Linked DNA regions of Bombyx mori. The protein of the gene in region 1 binds, or shares a complex with, the protein of each later gene. Links are inferred from orthologs where the notes say so. Each region holds a gene or a part of one and is shown on either strand. Other genes may lie near its edges. The genes, in order: nuclear pore complex protein Nup93, nucleoporin Nup35 and nuclear pore glycoprotein p62.

Evidence for each region.
Region 2: the proteins of nuclear pore complex protein Nup93 (region 1) and nucleoporin Nup35 are in contact, whole or in part, in a crystal structure (PDB 7MW1), measured with the Homo sapiens proteins. The link is inferred for Bombyx mori from reciprocal best matches to the Homo sapiens genes NUP93 and NUP35. Residues at the interface, in NP_055484.3 of Homo sapiens: Tyr266, Tyr269, Asn402, Ala407, Asp408, Lys409, Thr410, Glu411, Tyr413, Tyr448, His452, Phe453, Val455, Asn456, Leu461; in NP_612142.2 of Homo sapiens: Ala88, Pro89, Pro90, Val91, Arg92, Ser93, Ile94, Tyr95.
Region 3: nuclear pore complex protein Nup93 (region 1) and nuclear pore glycoprotein p62 share a complex: the UniProt entries of both Homo sapiens proteins name them as parts of the p62 complex. The link is inferred for Bombyx mori from reciprocal best matches to the Homo sapiens genes NUP93 and NUP62.

What each region holds. Positions count from the first base shown.
Region 1 is NC_085110.1:14,002,467-14,006,578, forward strand, and holds the start of nuclear pore complex protein Nup93, read right to left. Parts: upstream 2,903-4,112; 5' UTR 2,675-2,902; coding exon 2,505-2,674; intron 2,016-2,504; coding exon 1,835-2,015; intron 1,309-1,834; coding exon 1,006-1,308; intron 831-1,005; coding exon 688-830; intron 1-687. UniProt on the Homo sapiens protein: Plays a role in the nuclear pore complex (NPC) assembly and/or maintenance. May anchor nucleoporins, but not NUP153 and TPR, to the NPC. During renal development, regulates podocyte migration and proliferation through SMAD4 signaling.
Region 2 is NC_085128.1:2,336,237-2,340,374, forward strand, and holds the start of nucleoporin Nup35, read left to right. Parts: upstream 1-1,245; 5' UTR 1,246-1,373; coding exon 1,374-1,527; intron 1,528-1,749; coding exon 1,750-2,181; intron 2,182-2,456; coding exon 2,457-2,637; intron 2,638-2,907; coding exon 2,908-3,019; 3' UTR 3,020-4,138. Other genes in the region: uncharacterized protein LOC105841428, read right to left, coding at 1-115. UniProt on the Homo sapiens protein: Functions as a component of the nuclear pore complex (NPC).
Region 3 is NC_085134.1:6,717,891-6,722,058, reverse strand, and holds the start of nuclear pore glycoprotein p62, read right to left. Parts: upstream 2,838-4,168; 5' UTR 2,661-2,837; coding exon 2,594-2,660; intron 2,407-2,593; coding exon 2,350-2,406; intron 2,069-2,349; coding exon 1,967-2,068; intron 1,480-1,966; coding exon 1,352-1,479; intron 764-1,351; coding exon 685-763; intron 311-684; coding exon 186-310; intron 1-185. UniProt on the Homo sapiens protein: Essential component of the nuclear pore complex. The N-terminal is probably involved in nucleocytoplasmic transport.

The DNA.
Region 1 (4,112 bases):
TTAAGCTTTGTATAGCCATATTAAATATTGTGACAGGTTTAAGGAGCATATTTCTCATATCCCAAAACCAAAGTCATTTGTGTTCAATTATGAGCTAACAACAAAAGGACATTGTTTTTATTATATTATAGACAGCATGCTACTCATATGCTACCATTTTCAATCTTATCAATAATATAAAAGTATTGCTAACAAGCACCAATATTTATTAAGCCAGTGGATTATAACTGTGGGGCAACAAAATAATGCTAGATATTAAGAATGCCAAACAGAAGATGTCCACCACAAAGCATAAATATTAGTTCAAGTAATTCAACCCACTACCTACAAAGTTGCTCGACTTGAGTTACACCAAATGCCTCAAGTGCAATGATATAAATAAGCTTGGATGCCCTAGTATAAGGTATAAGGTGATGGTTTTGTGGAGGAGCTATCAATCCTGCTATACAGACTAAAATCTAATCTACTTATATTCTCTTACTGATCCGAAATATGAGCTGACAAATAAGAACACCTGAAAGACAACATATCCAATGCTATGTTTTCCCACAGTCAAGTAATTTTCCAGAAAATTGTAATCAGATATTAATATAAACGTACGGTTCGTAATTTATAAACAAAAAAATACAGAGAGAGATATAGAGATAAATTATTATATTTAGATGGTACATAAAAATAAAAGTAAACCTTTTCTGTAAGTATTTCTTTCCTTGTGCGACAAGACACTGTTGTATTGCTGGATTGCCTCTTGCTTTCAGTGGATCTTCATCTCTCACCAGGGCTGGGATATTGGCCATCGTATTTATTATATCCCACATCTCCTTTACTTTCTGAAAAGAAAAACAATGTCATTTACTTTATTGTTACTTTTTGGTATGGTATTTTACATATACAAATCTGACCACAAGGTCTTCATTGTATTCAGTGTATTCTAACAACTAGGCCATTTTACAGTAGCAAATATAGTATATTTGTACACTTCCTTGATTTAAACAGTTTACTTACAGGGTCATTGAAGTCCTCAGCTACCTGAGCAAATTTCTGATGCAAAGCTGTTCTTGATTTAGCACCTTGGAATACATATTTATTATACTGATGAACCTGTCTGGCATATGCTGCTTCAACATTATCCAACATTGAATGTCCAAATTTTTTAGGAGCATCAGCAATACTAGGAGGTTCAGGAGTGCGTTTCAAGTCTAGCCAGTTTTGTGAGGGACCAATCATTGCATTCATGAGTTTGATCTTTTCTTTATTCCATTCTGAGAGCATGTGTTCCCATTTTTGATCCTCTGTTGTTTGCAGGGACTGAAATAATTTTGAATTGGATATTCAATAATCAATTTATTAACTTTGATTAATTGATTACTTGTGTAAATTTCTCTTAACAGTAGTTTGTTTTTGTAAAGTACTCTTAATTTTTCATAAGACGTTAGTAGTAACTGAAACTTAATGGACACAATAATAATAATTAAGCTTTAATGAAAAAATGTAATAAAAATTCAGCATCATATAAACATAGTAACTAAAGCAACCAGACTTCACTGTTTAACATTGTATTGCCAAAGTACTTTCAAAGATTGTGGTCATAAAAACCAATTGAATTCATTTGCATTATAGTATCAATAAAAATTGTACATATAATATTACTCAACAATATATTATATCTTAATAATTGTATTGGTTGTATCTTAATAAATTTTCTTTTCATTTACACCAACTGTGACTGTTTTCTTATCACAGAGGCCAATTATTCTTATTTAGAATGTAGCCATGGTCCATAAATTCTTAAATCAAATCTGTAAACTTTAACATACTTAGTATCAATACTTACATTTTTGTTGACTTCATCAATAAGGGATAATATAGCATTTTCTTTTTCATTCTTCAAAAAACTTTCAATATCTGAATCAGCTATTGGCTGGAGGGGCTCAAAAGTACGCTTTGAACTAAGTGTCTCCAATTTTTGTGAGATTTGGTTTAGATCAATTCCTTTAGAGCCAAACAATAAGTGCCTAAAAGTAAATTTTAACTTGAAAATAGCTTTTTGGTTTAATATAGATTTGTCATGCTGTACTTAATTACTGTGTTAAATTGATTAAGGTGTTCTGTATAAATTAAACTTACAAATGTTAGTTTACATACTAATTATATTGCAATAATTTATCTCAGAAAATCTTAATAATAATAATATTGTCAGACTATTATTGATATCGATAGTTCTATGTCTATACAAATCCAACTTTCCCATACCACTGTCATATGACATACCAGATCTACCACTTCGAAGGTTTTCGGGGTTTTCCTCGATTTAACGGCTAGTAAAAAACTGTATATCAACTAAAACTATTATAATACTGCAAATACATACTATGCCGACTGATTGTATGGGACTAGAAACATTATTAACTTCATAACGGATTAAATTTAAAAAAAATGATTCGGTCTCACTTTACATCATTTATTTTTATCATTACCCGTAACACATTGAATTTAATACTTACGCTTGAATATCGTTAGCGCCAGATTGTATTACTCTCGAGTAAAGTTCCTGGGAGGCCTCGAGAACTTGCCCTAAAGAACGTTCAACTCTCGGCAATTCTTCATTACCTTCTATCTCAGTCGTTAACTGTTCTGCTTGTTGAAGTAGTTTACTAAATCCTTCATCTCCCATTTTAGAGTATTCGCGTTTTGAATGAAAAACAATTTAATTTGAATTTAATTATTATTTGTAATAGTTTGGTTTTTATTTGTTTTTTTCGTTTTAGGTTAGTATTTCATAAGGATGCTCAATCTGAATCGATATACTAATACTCTTCGATTCTTATAATCGATTACCTCAAAAACCAAATCAGAATAGATGTGTCACGTTCTCACAATGTTATTAAACAATACTAAATGACTGGTTTTATAATGACCAATTAATAAAACTGTAATTTTTGTTACGATCATAAGGTGGCAGCACTAACACTTTATATTTTATATGACAATAAAATGTAGTATTACATAAAAAAAAAATCCTACTTAAGCTGATAGCCTTGAGAGGCTATTTCAGCTTCGCTCTAACGTTTGTAGGTGAGCTCACGGGGCTCAAACCTGACGACGATGCTAACACGAACCCTAGCAAGAGCCGTGCTTCGCAGAATCTACCACCGGATCGGAAACGCGACCCACTGAGAAGATCCGGCGAGAAACTCAGTGGGCTGTGTCTAAGAGTTAATTTACTCGTCGAGCCCTTCGTCGCAAGCGACGGGTTCGACGAGAACGGTGACCGGCGCTTGAAGTACCTAAAAGCACCGTTAGTGGATCTGGAGGATCCGAGATGACGTGTACATTTCATTAATATCGTTGAATACCGCTAAAATACTTAGATCGAATTACAATTCTAGGGTCGGCAGACTAAAGCACATAAGTCAAAATTTTCAGTTTATTTTTTATTACATCATCGGTTTACATTTTGCTCAACACACAATCTGACTAAAGCACATAAATCAAACTCAAGTATTTCATGGTGTATTCAAGCGGCGTTCTGTATCAACCTTATCAAATCCTAATATAGTCAAACGAACTAAAAAACATAACTGGACTTATGTTCTAAGGAACACCATAAGTACAAAGTTATTAACGTAAGAAGTCTGACTTATGTTATAAAGAACATCAAAATGTAACATTTCTTTAGAGAAAGTAGTTACTTAAAAATATTTATAACGTAAACAATACTTCGGTAAGTGGTTTTAATTTACTAATGTTGTCGATTGTGCACAGTTTGTTGGTTAGTTGTGTTAGTTAGTTGTGTGTGAGTGCTTAAATATTTTAATTATTTAAGATGAATATTCAAAGATGCAAGAAATTAGTTGAAATGGCGTTATCCACTCATCTGGAAAGCAATGAAGGTATATTTTCACATATCTTCAAAATTATGATTTGCAAATTACGTAATTATATCAATATTATATCATTATAAATAGATGATTGTCTTGTCCTTTTTTAGAAAATGTAAATCAACAGTCGATTTTGAACACAGAGAACCTAGTGGTAGACGATCCTATACCGTCGACATCATCAGGTCAAGTCAGTAGTTTAACATACCATCCTGTACTTGACTTCTCTAG
Region 2 (4,138 bases), on another chromosome or scaffold:
CGTTGTGACTGTTAGCTGGGGTACATTGTGGAGTATCAATAAGAGGTTTATCACATTCATTTTTATTAACAAAATTATAATTCTCAAGCTTTGCAGCCCGAGAATCCATATTCATTTGTTTGACAATTTGACATTTAACTTGACATCTAGCGTAGTTGCTTCGTTTGTTTAGTCCAATTTAATAGGCAAAGAGAGCATATGCGCTGAGGCTTTCATATAATGAGAATATAGGTATCGATAATATAGATACTTTATATAAGCCTGACGGAATCCATATCGCTGGTGAAAAGTTGCATGATACAATTGCATACAACTAATTGATACAAATAACAAGAGATAGTACTTTGTTAGGGTTGAATGGAATGAAAAAACTACTCCGTAAATAAGTATATATATATATTGAGGAGTAAAAGGTTTAAGCGACATTTTGCTTAATATGCGACATTTATTTTTGTAATTAAAGATCCATTTCATTTGGTATTAAATTAGCATCAACAATTCGATGTTTTTAATCGAACTTCAATTATATTTACACCATGCAAATAACAAGTTTTTTCATTTCATTTTTCCAATTTTAAGCTTAAATGGTTCTCCTGCAAAGTTTTAAAAGTGTCGCTTAAACGAAATGGCCTTTCACCCCTCGATACCATGATTTCAATGCACTATAATTTGGAAGAAGCCGGAAATTCACATAAATGTATCTCGTGTCATTTTCTCACACGTATGCACTTTCGTGAATATAAAACTATTGGTAAGACTAATAGGTAGCGTGGCTAGGCCTCGCACAAGGTGGACCGACGACCTCCTGAGGTTCGCGGAAATCCGTCGGATATAAGTAGTGCGGGACCGCTCGCTGGCGAGGCTCGTGTGATGCCTATGCCCAGCAATGGGCTGAAAGAAGAAGAAAAAAAAGAGGATAAAACCAATACTGGTGGTATATAAACGTTACCAAATAGAACCATTCAAAAGATCGTCAGGTTTGAGCCCCGTGAGCTCACCTACTAGTTACGGTTACGCTGGAATAGCCGCTCCAGGCTACCAGCTTAGGTAGGAAAAAAAAAAACATTCAAAGCTTCACTCTCTCCTTTACAGCCAATAAAAAAGCTGGAATAATTTAGAAAATTTAAGTATTGAATACAGATATAATGTACTATTTAGACATATATCATTGAGTTTATGTAATGTATTTGTATGCTATGTAATACTTGTTTTTTTTATTATTTATTATCTATGAGTTTAACGACAATTACAAACTGTCAGTGTCAACTAGAATTTGACTTCTGAGTAAATTAAAAGTAGGAACGTTACGGTTAAAAGAAATTAAACGTGCAAACTTGGTAGCTAAATCATATACATATAAAAGATTTACAAAGATGGAACCAATGACACTTGGTAGTCCTACACATTCGCCCTCAGGGAGCCCTAATGTAGGGTATTTACCGCCTTTTCTGCTGGGTGAAATAAATCCGCCAACAACACCTAGAACAAATAGTTTGTCCCCAACTAAAGGACGAAATCTAGCATTTGGTATGTATAATAAGATACCGGGAACAGCACGCATTGCAAATACCGTTTTAAGCATGTAGCTTTAGGGTAAAATTCTGAATAACCTATTCAAGTGACTTTACCGATCAATCTGAGCTTCAAGCGTAGTCTAACTCCTAAAACTTTTTATTCATTTATGGGCATGTAATTGCTAGAAAATTAATACTTAAACATAAGTAATGTCAATGGTAATCTTTTTTGCAGGTTCACCTACCAGTCCTAGTAAAACATCAACACCAGATCAAAAAATATACCGTCAGAACATCTCTATGCACCAGCAAGCGCTGTATAACCAACAAAGCACATATACTAATATTCCGACTTCACCCAACATATCTTACTCGACTAAGCCGAATGGTCCACCCATTGAAGACTTATTCGACACAATAAAAAGCAATGAGCCGTCTGTAAATAAATCATTGTATAATGATCACAGTTTTCTTGGCTATGGAAATAATATGATGTTACAAAATTCCTATGGAAATAACATCGATCTGTCTGTTAACAATCAATCTTTATCCCAATGGCAGGATATTTGTCAAGAACAAGATGAATACTGGGTGACTGTGTTTGGGTTTCCACCTAATGCTGCTAATACAGTATTGGCAAGATTCAGCAACTGTGGTGCTATTCTGGGTTAGAATGTTATTAACTCTTACTCTTATTATATAAAAAAGATTAGCTCATGTCAATCATCATTGTCTTCTTTCATTAGAAATGCTGATTAAACTAACTAAAACTATTTAAATTAAGTAATCTGAATTTTCTAATACTTACATACATTTCAGTATTAATTTGCATATATTGCTAAATAATTACTCAAATAATTGTTATGATGATCAAATCTCTTTTTATTATTGTGATTTATTCTTTTCCACAAAACTATAATTTTTTACAATTTATATCAATAGACAAGCAGTATCCTACACAAGGCAACTGGGCCCACATTAGGTATGCGACAAGAGCAGAGAAAGAGAGAGCCATGGCTTTAAGTGGAAGGCAAGTCTTGCCAGGGGTAATGGTTGGAGTAATTGAGTGCAAGGAACCACCCCGAATATCTTTTACTAGTCCTGGAATTATGTCACCCGAAAGGTACAATATCTACAGTTTAAATATGTTTAAAATAATCAAATATTACTATTAGGGTTAAATTGGTCATTTGTGCGTTTCTGTGTATTTTATTTATACGATACCAATATTAAGTACCTCCAAATTATCTGGAAGTTGCTGAACTATTCTTGTGTATAATGCTCAATGCGAAAAAAGGATATTAGAACATTTTTAATCTATTATTTCATTTGTTATTAAATTTCTGACTTGTGATTGAGAGCAGCTATTATTATCTTTCGTTTTTATTTGCAGGCAAACTACTGGAGCCCGATCCCTATGTCCAACACCAATACCCTCAGCACCAGTCCCTCAGAAGTCTAGTGGTCTCATTTCCAAAGCATTAGACTATGTGCTGGGATGGTGACAAATACTTTATCTAAAACTTTATTGAAATAACTTAAAGGGATACCACAAATACATTTACATTAATTTTGTAAAAGTTTGATGTCTCTGTGGCCTATAAAATGACCACTGTTCACATCATGCGAATGTTGTTTAATCACAAAATAGATACTAATTTTCACAATTTTAATGAATGGGGTGAGGATGACAGTTTTACCTGATAACGTCTGGACTTCGGGAAAAAGAGATATTTCATCATCAAATACTGAATAGTTTTGATTTTATGATTTGATGTCTGTGGCCTGGTAGAATAGAAAGAAAAAAAACGCGGTCTGTAGGTTTGGACAAGGTCAGTAACCTGTATTCTAAAAAACTTATTTAAATGTCATTCCATACTATTTATATAGAAATAAGATATTACCTACTATTTTAACTCTTCCAGCCCTACTGATCTGAATTTTGAGGACATTAATCTCAATGTAATATTTTTGTTTAATAATATAAAATTAATATTATTCACAAAATTATGTTTACAATTTAATGTTTATTACATAATCACCTGTGAAGGCCGTGTTTTCGTTTAAGGTAATACTGTCATCCCTATCTTCTATATAAAAAATTGTATTAGCAACATTGTAGTAATAAATAGATCATAAAAAAAAAAAAAAAGTAGGTATATATCGAATTTAGTGGTTGAGCAGGTTCTTAGCCTGTAAGGACCGATACTACTGTCCTATATATTTCTGCTGAAGTAGCTCTGCTAATGTAATTGAGCCTAATCTCATCTCTCGAGGGAAACGGTGTATTCAGGTTGGGACGCTAATGCTTTCCGGTGACCTTTATACCTGTAGAAATTAGCTACTTCACATATAATTGAGAAAGATCTAGCAAATATTTATCTAAAGGATATTTCGTTTAAAAAAATTATCAAAATAGAAACTTAACGAATTTAAGAATTTTATTAAACATTTACAACATTTACCAGCAAGAGCTGCGCCATTTGAATGTATTAAAACAATATGTCAGAAAATAAATCGCATGTAACCTATAATATTAAACGACCTATTTTTTTTATGTGTAACATTTTAACTCTCTGAAATGAGCACTTGGTGAGCCAAAATTAACCGAAAAGCCGAAATAG
Region 3 (4,168 bases), on another chromosome or scaffold:
AGGTAACTACTATATACAGACTGACATTGTCTCCTGGTTTCAACAAATTATTGTAATCAGAAGTTGGATTTAGAATAGTTACCTTTGTACCTTAAACTTAACAACAAAAATAACAGACAAACAAAGGAATTAACTGGAGATGATCTAAAAACGATTTCTTTTTTGGGATTGTAACAAAAACTTACAGTACTAGCTTGCGGTGCTGAGAAACCAGATGTAGGTGTTGAAAAACTAAAGCCAGCTGTCGTTGATGCCGGCTTCCCGAAGCTAAAACCTGTATTTGCACTGGAACCGAATGCTGGGGCAGCAGCTAAAACAACATGTTCATACATTTCCTTTTCTTAAAATTTCTGTTCACTTTATTACTGATGCAAGCAAGACGTACTGGTGAAGTAATTATAAATTTCGTTTGTAAGGAACAATGACTTAAAACTTTTCTGAACTTTAAGTCCAATTTTCATAATAGCAAAAGCTGAGCGCTAGTGCATTTACAAAAGCAATATTATTATCCTTTTTTTTAATTTTAAATTTATAATTATCCATGTCATCTGCCATGTCAAAATAATTATATTTGTCAATCCAGGTCTTAAGCTGTGTTACCATTATAATCGTCATTTTAGTATAATATCATTTATATATTCATTATAATAATAAATTTATAATATTATTATATTTATAACCAACCTTGTGTGGCAGGTGTACCGAATGCCGGTGGTGCTGTGGTGGTTGCACCAAACGACAGATTCTGGGCCTGTCCTGCATTCTGTGAAATATTCACTAGCATTACAAGGCATTAACACATGCAAAGGAGCACAGTGAACGACATATAAGAGTTATGTAGAATGTAAGCATTCTCGAACTAAGAAAGAAAAGATAAGTAGAATGTAAGCATTCTCAAACTAAGAAAGAAAAGATATCATTTTTTTCACAACAATTTAACAATGGCAGAACATTGTTTTTTTTTTTTTTTATGTCTTAGATGGGTGGAAGAGCTCACAGCCCACCTGGTGTTAAGTGGTTACTGGAGCCCATGGACATCTACAACGTAAATGCGCCACCCACCATGAGATATAAGTTCTAAGATCTCAGTATAGTTACAACGGCTGCCCCACCCTTCAAACCGAAACGCATTACTGCTTCACGGCAGAAATAGGTAGGGCGGTGGTACCTATTCGCGCGGACTCACAAGAGGTCCTACCACCAGTAAAATTTACAAATATAACTGATTTTTTTTCCACTTAATTTGGTGAAATGCAAAATACAGTATTGATCGATAAACGCAGCTGGAGACATCACACCAAACTGACGAATAGTTTGTTTAACAGGCTCCCAACAAAATTACTGTACACACCTGATTTGTTGCTTGCCCAAAGGCAGAACTGCCAACTGTCTGATTAGGAGGTGAAGTGAAACCTCCAAAGGGTGTTGGCTTATTCGCTCCAAAGCCTGCAGTTGTAGTCGTTGTCGATGGAGATGAAACTGCCATACAATACATAAGTGTGAGAGGCATTTGTTATGAGTAGAATGTTTTTCGTAATGTTTGATGTAAGCCTCTTTTTGAGCAGGTAGGTTCTCATTGTCTATAAAGAGTAGGGCAGGAAAGGTTCAAGGCTCTTACATTTTGTGATTCAGTAGTGTGGTGATAATTTTGATTAAGCACTATGTTATTTTGTTATTTGTAGGTCAATTCTATTTTAGTGTTAGATTCATTCCTGGAGTTTAATTTAACTTTAACTTGTATGAAAATTGTATTTAGAACATAGGATCTGAGTGTAAATAAATATTTATGAAATATTGATCATTTAAGAACCCCTTTGAGGGATAATTATAATTTTTTAAATAATTTTTCACATGTCAGCTAGGAGTGTTAATAGTTGTTTAAATATCTTTTGCATGTCTTTTGGCTATGGTTTAATTACAACCATACAGTATATTCAGCGTTAAGTAAACAAAGGCCATTACTTACATGGTGAAGGTGCTGCATTTGTTGTTTTAGCACCAAATGCAAAACTGCCAAATACTGGTGCACTTGTTGTGGGACTAGTGAAGCTGAATGTTGCTTTGTTTTCTGAGAGATTAAAAATATTATTTGCATTTTCTATATGCTTTTGGGATTCGATTCATGTTTGGATATCTAATGAGTGTACTTCATCTTTTCTGAAAATATCCATGTCTCTTGGTTTAAGAAACCAGCACCACTGTTAATAAATCTTGATTTATTAACAGTGGTGCCTTAAATTCCCTTAGTCCCTTAAATTTTTACTGTCTATTTTTGTTACTTGTAACAGAAAAATTCAGATTTAAAATATCGCTTGTATTTGTTACCGGAAGTTTTTGTACGCATCGTACCTGTGTTGGATCCACCAAATAACGGCTTTGAAGCGTCACCGCTGCCAAATGAAAATCCTGTAATTACATCCAATTAATTAATTTTTTGATCTTAACGTGAAAAAAGTGTGGTTATATTGTTTACATTGACAATTTAATTATTGTTTAAAAAAACATATATATCGTAGTTCGAATCGTATTGTAGAGTATTTCAATTTATAAAGCTTCAAATTGGAACATGATAATCAAACCAAAAAGAATTTACCTGTTGATGGTGTTGGTGTACCAAAAGTATTAGACGACGTTGTAGTAGTTCCAAAAGAAAAACTCATTTTGTAAACTATAGATAAACTTATGTAAAAGTAAAATAGTTTAAATGATGGAAGTATGTATATTTAGATATTTCAATAAATGTTTAGTAAGCACTACTGTTTGCCGCCGTTAGAAAATTTACCAACAGTAAGATTTATCGAGATATTAATCATTCGTTCAAACTTCAATGTGTCAAAAGTCACTTTTTGTTATGTCCGATCAGACTGGCAAAAGAAACGTAGCCAATTGATTTAAACTGGAATTGAAAACCTTGTGTGAGATCTCAAGCCAGGCAGATTGCAAGCATATTTTTTCCCGTGTTCTCATCGCAACCAATTCTAGAAAATGAGTGTCGGAAAGGAAAAATATATGAAAGATAATCGTGGCAAAAGAAGAAAGATAAGGCATTTAAAAGCTAAAACTATATTCTTATAGTACATAGTATAAAAAATACCTAACAATGTTTAATTACCCCATTTTTTCTCGTCACCTAATATGAATCCTAACGATAAATGTGAAACCGTAAATTATCTTTCCAATCCAACTCTCTATACTCTGTTCAATTCAAATCAATTTACTGTATGTGATTTTTAAAGGCAATCTCTTCCATACCTTTAAATCGCTTTTGATAACATCAGTTGGATGATAACAATAACAATTTTAGATGAAATCATCCATATCTTTTGCCACATCCTGAATTAAGCAAGTTTGTTCCAAAGTCGAGTTTGATGGTGTGTTCCAAAGGAAAGGAAAAAACGAGCCATCGCGGTAAAGCTTGTAGATTTGAAACATTGATATTACTTTGTACAAGTATAGATGTTTATATGGATAGCTTAGAATAGAAAATTGGTGTGGAATATGAAAAATACAATAATAAAATGAGACAGTCGCTTGTGCATGGCGATGCGTTGCCACGTCAGCAATCAAAAAAAGAGCTTAAGTAGCTTAGCATTTTTAAAGTATTTGTATATTTCATATTATTTTTATTTCATAAAACCTAATCCGCTTACATAGTAGTGGGGCCCCATTTTTTTATTTGCCCTGGGGCCCTTGGTTACCTTGTTAGCCACTGTTTATCTCGGCAGGTAGATTCGTGTTTCATGCTCGCATTACTATATCAGAACACTATTTTAATTATTTATATTTATTTTATTAAGCCACTGCTACTATTTTCGCATGAGAGTTATGGAAATGTCTAAATAAGACGTACATAACCACGACCACTCCGCTAGGAGTGTACGACTGAGAAGAAAAGAAAAAACTATCTCAGACGTGGTGTGTGTGGTTTTAAACTTTTTGAATAACAATCCATTGTATACAAGTGCACAAATATGAGGCGTAAAGTTTTCAAAGTAAGTTGACTACCTGCATACCTACCTACTTAATATTTTATCTGCCGTACTTATTCTCGTAGGTTCCATAGTGACCAATGAAGTAGGAAACCTATGGAAATGAAACGTCAACCAAAATTTCGTGCCACTGTGACGTCATCTGGCCACAAAACATGGCGGCTTTAGTGCTGTACAAA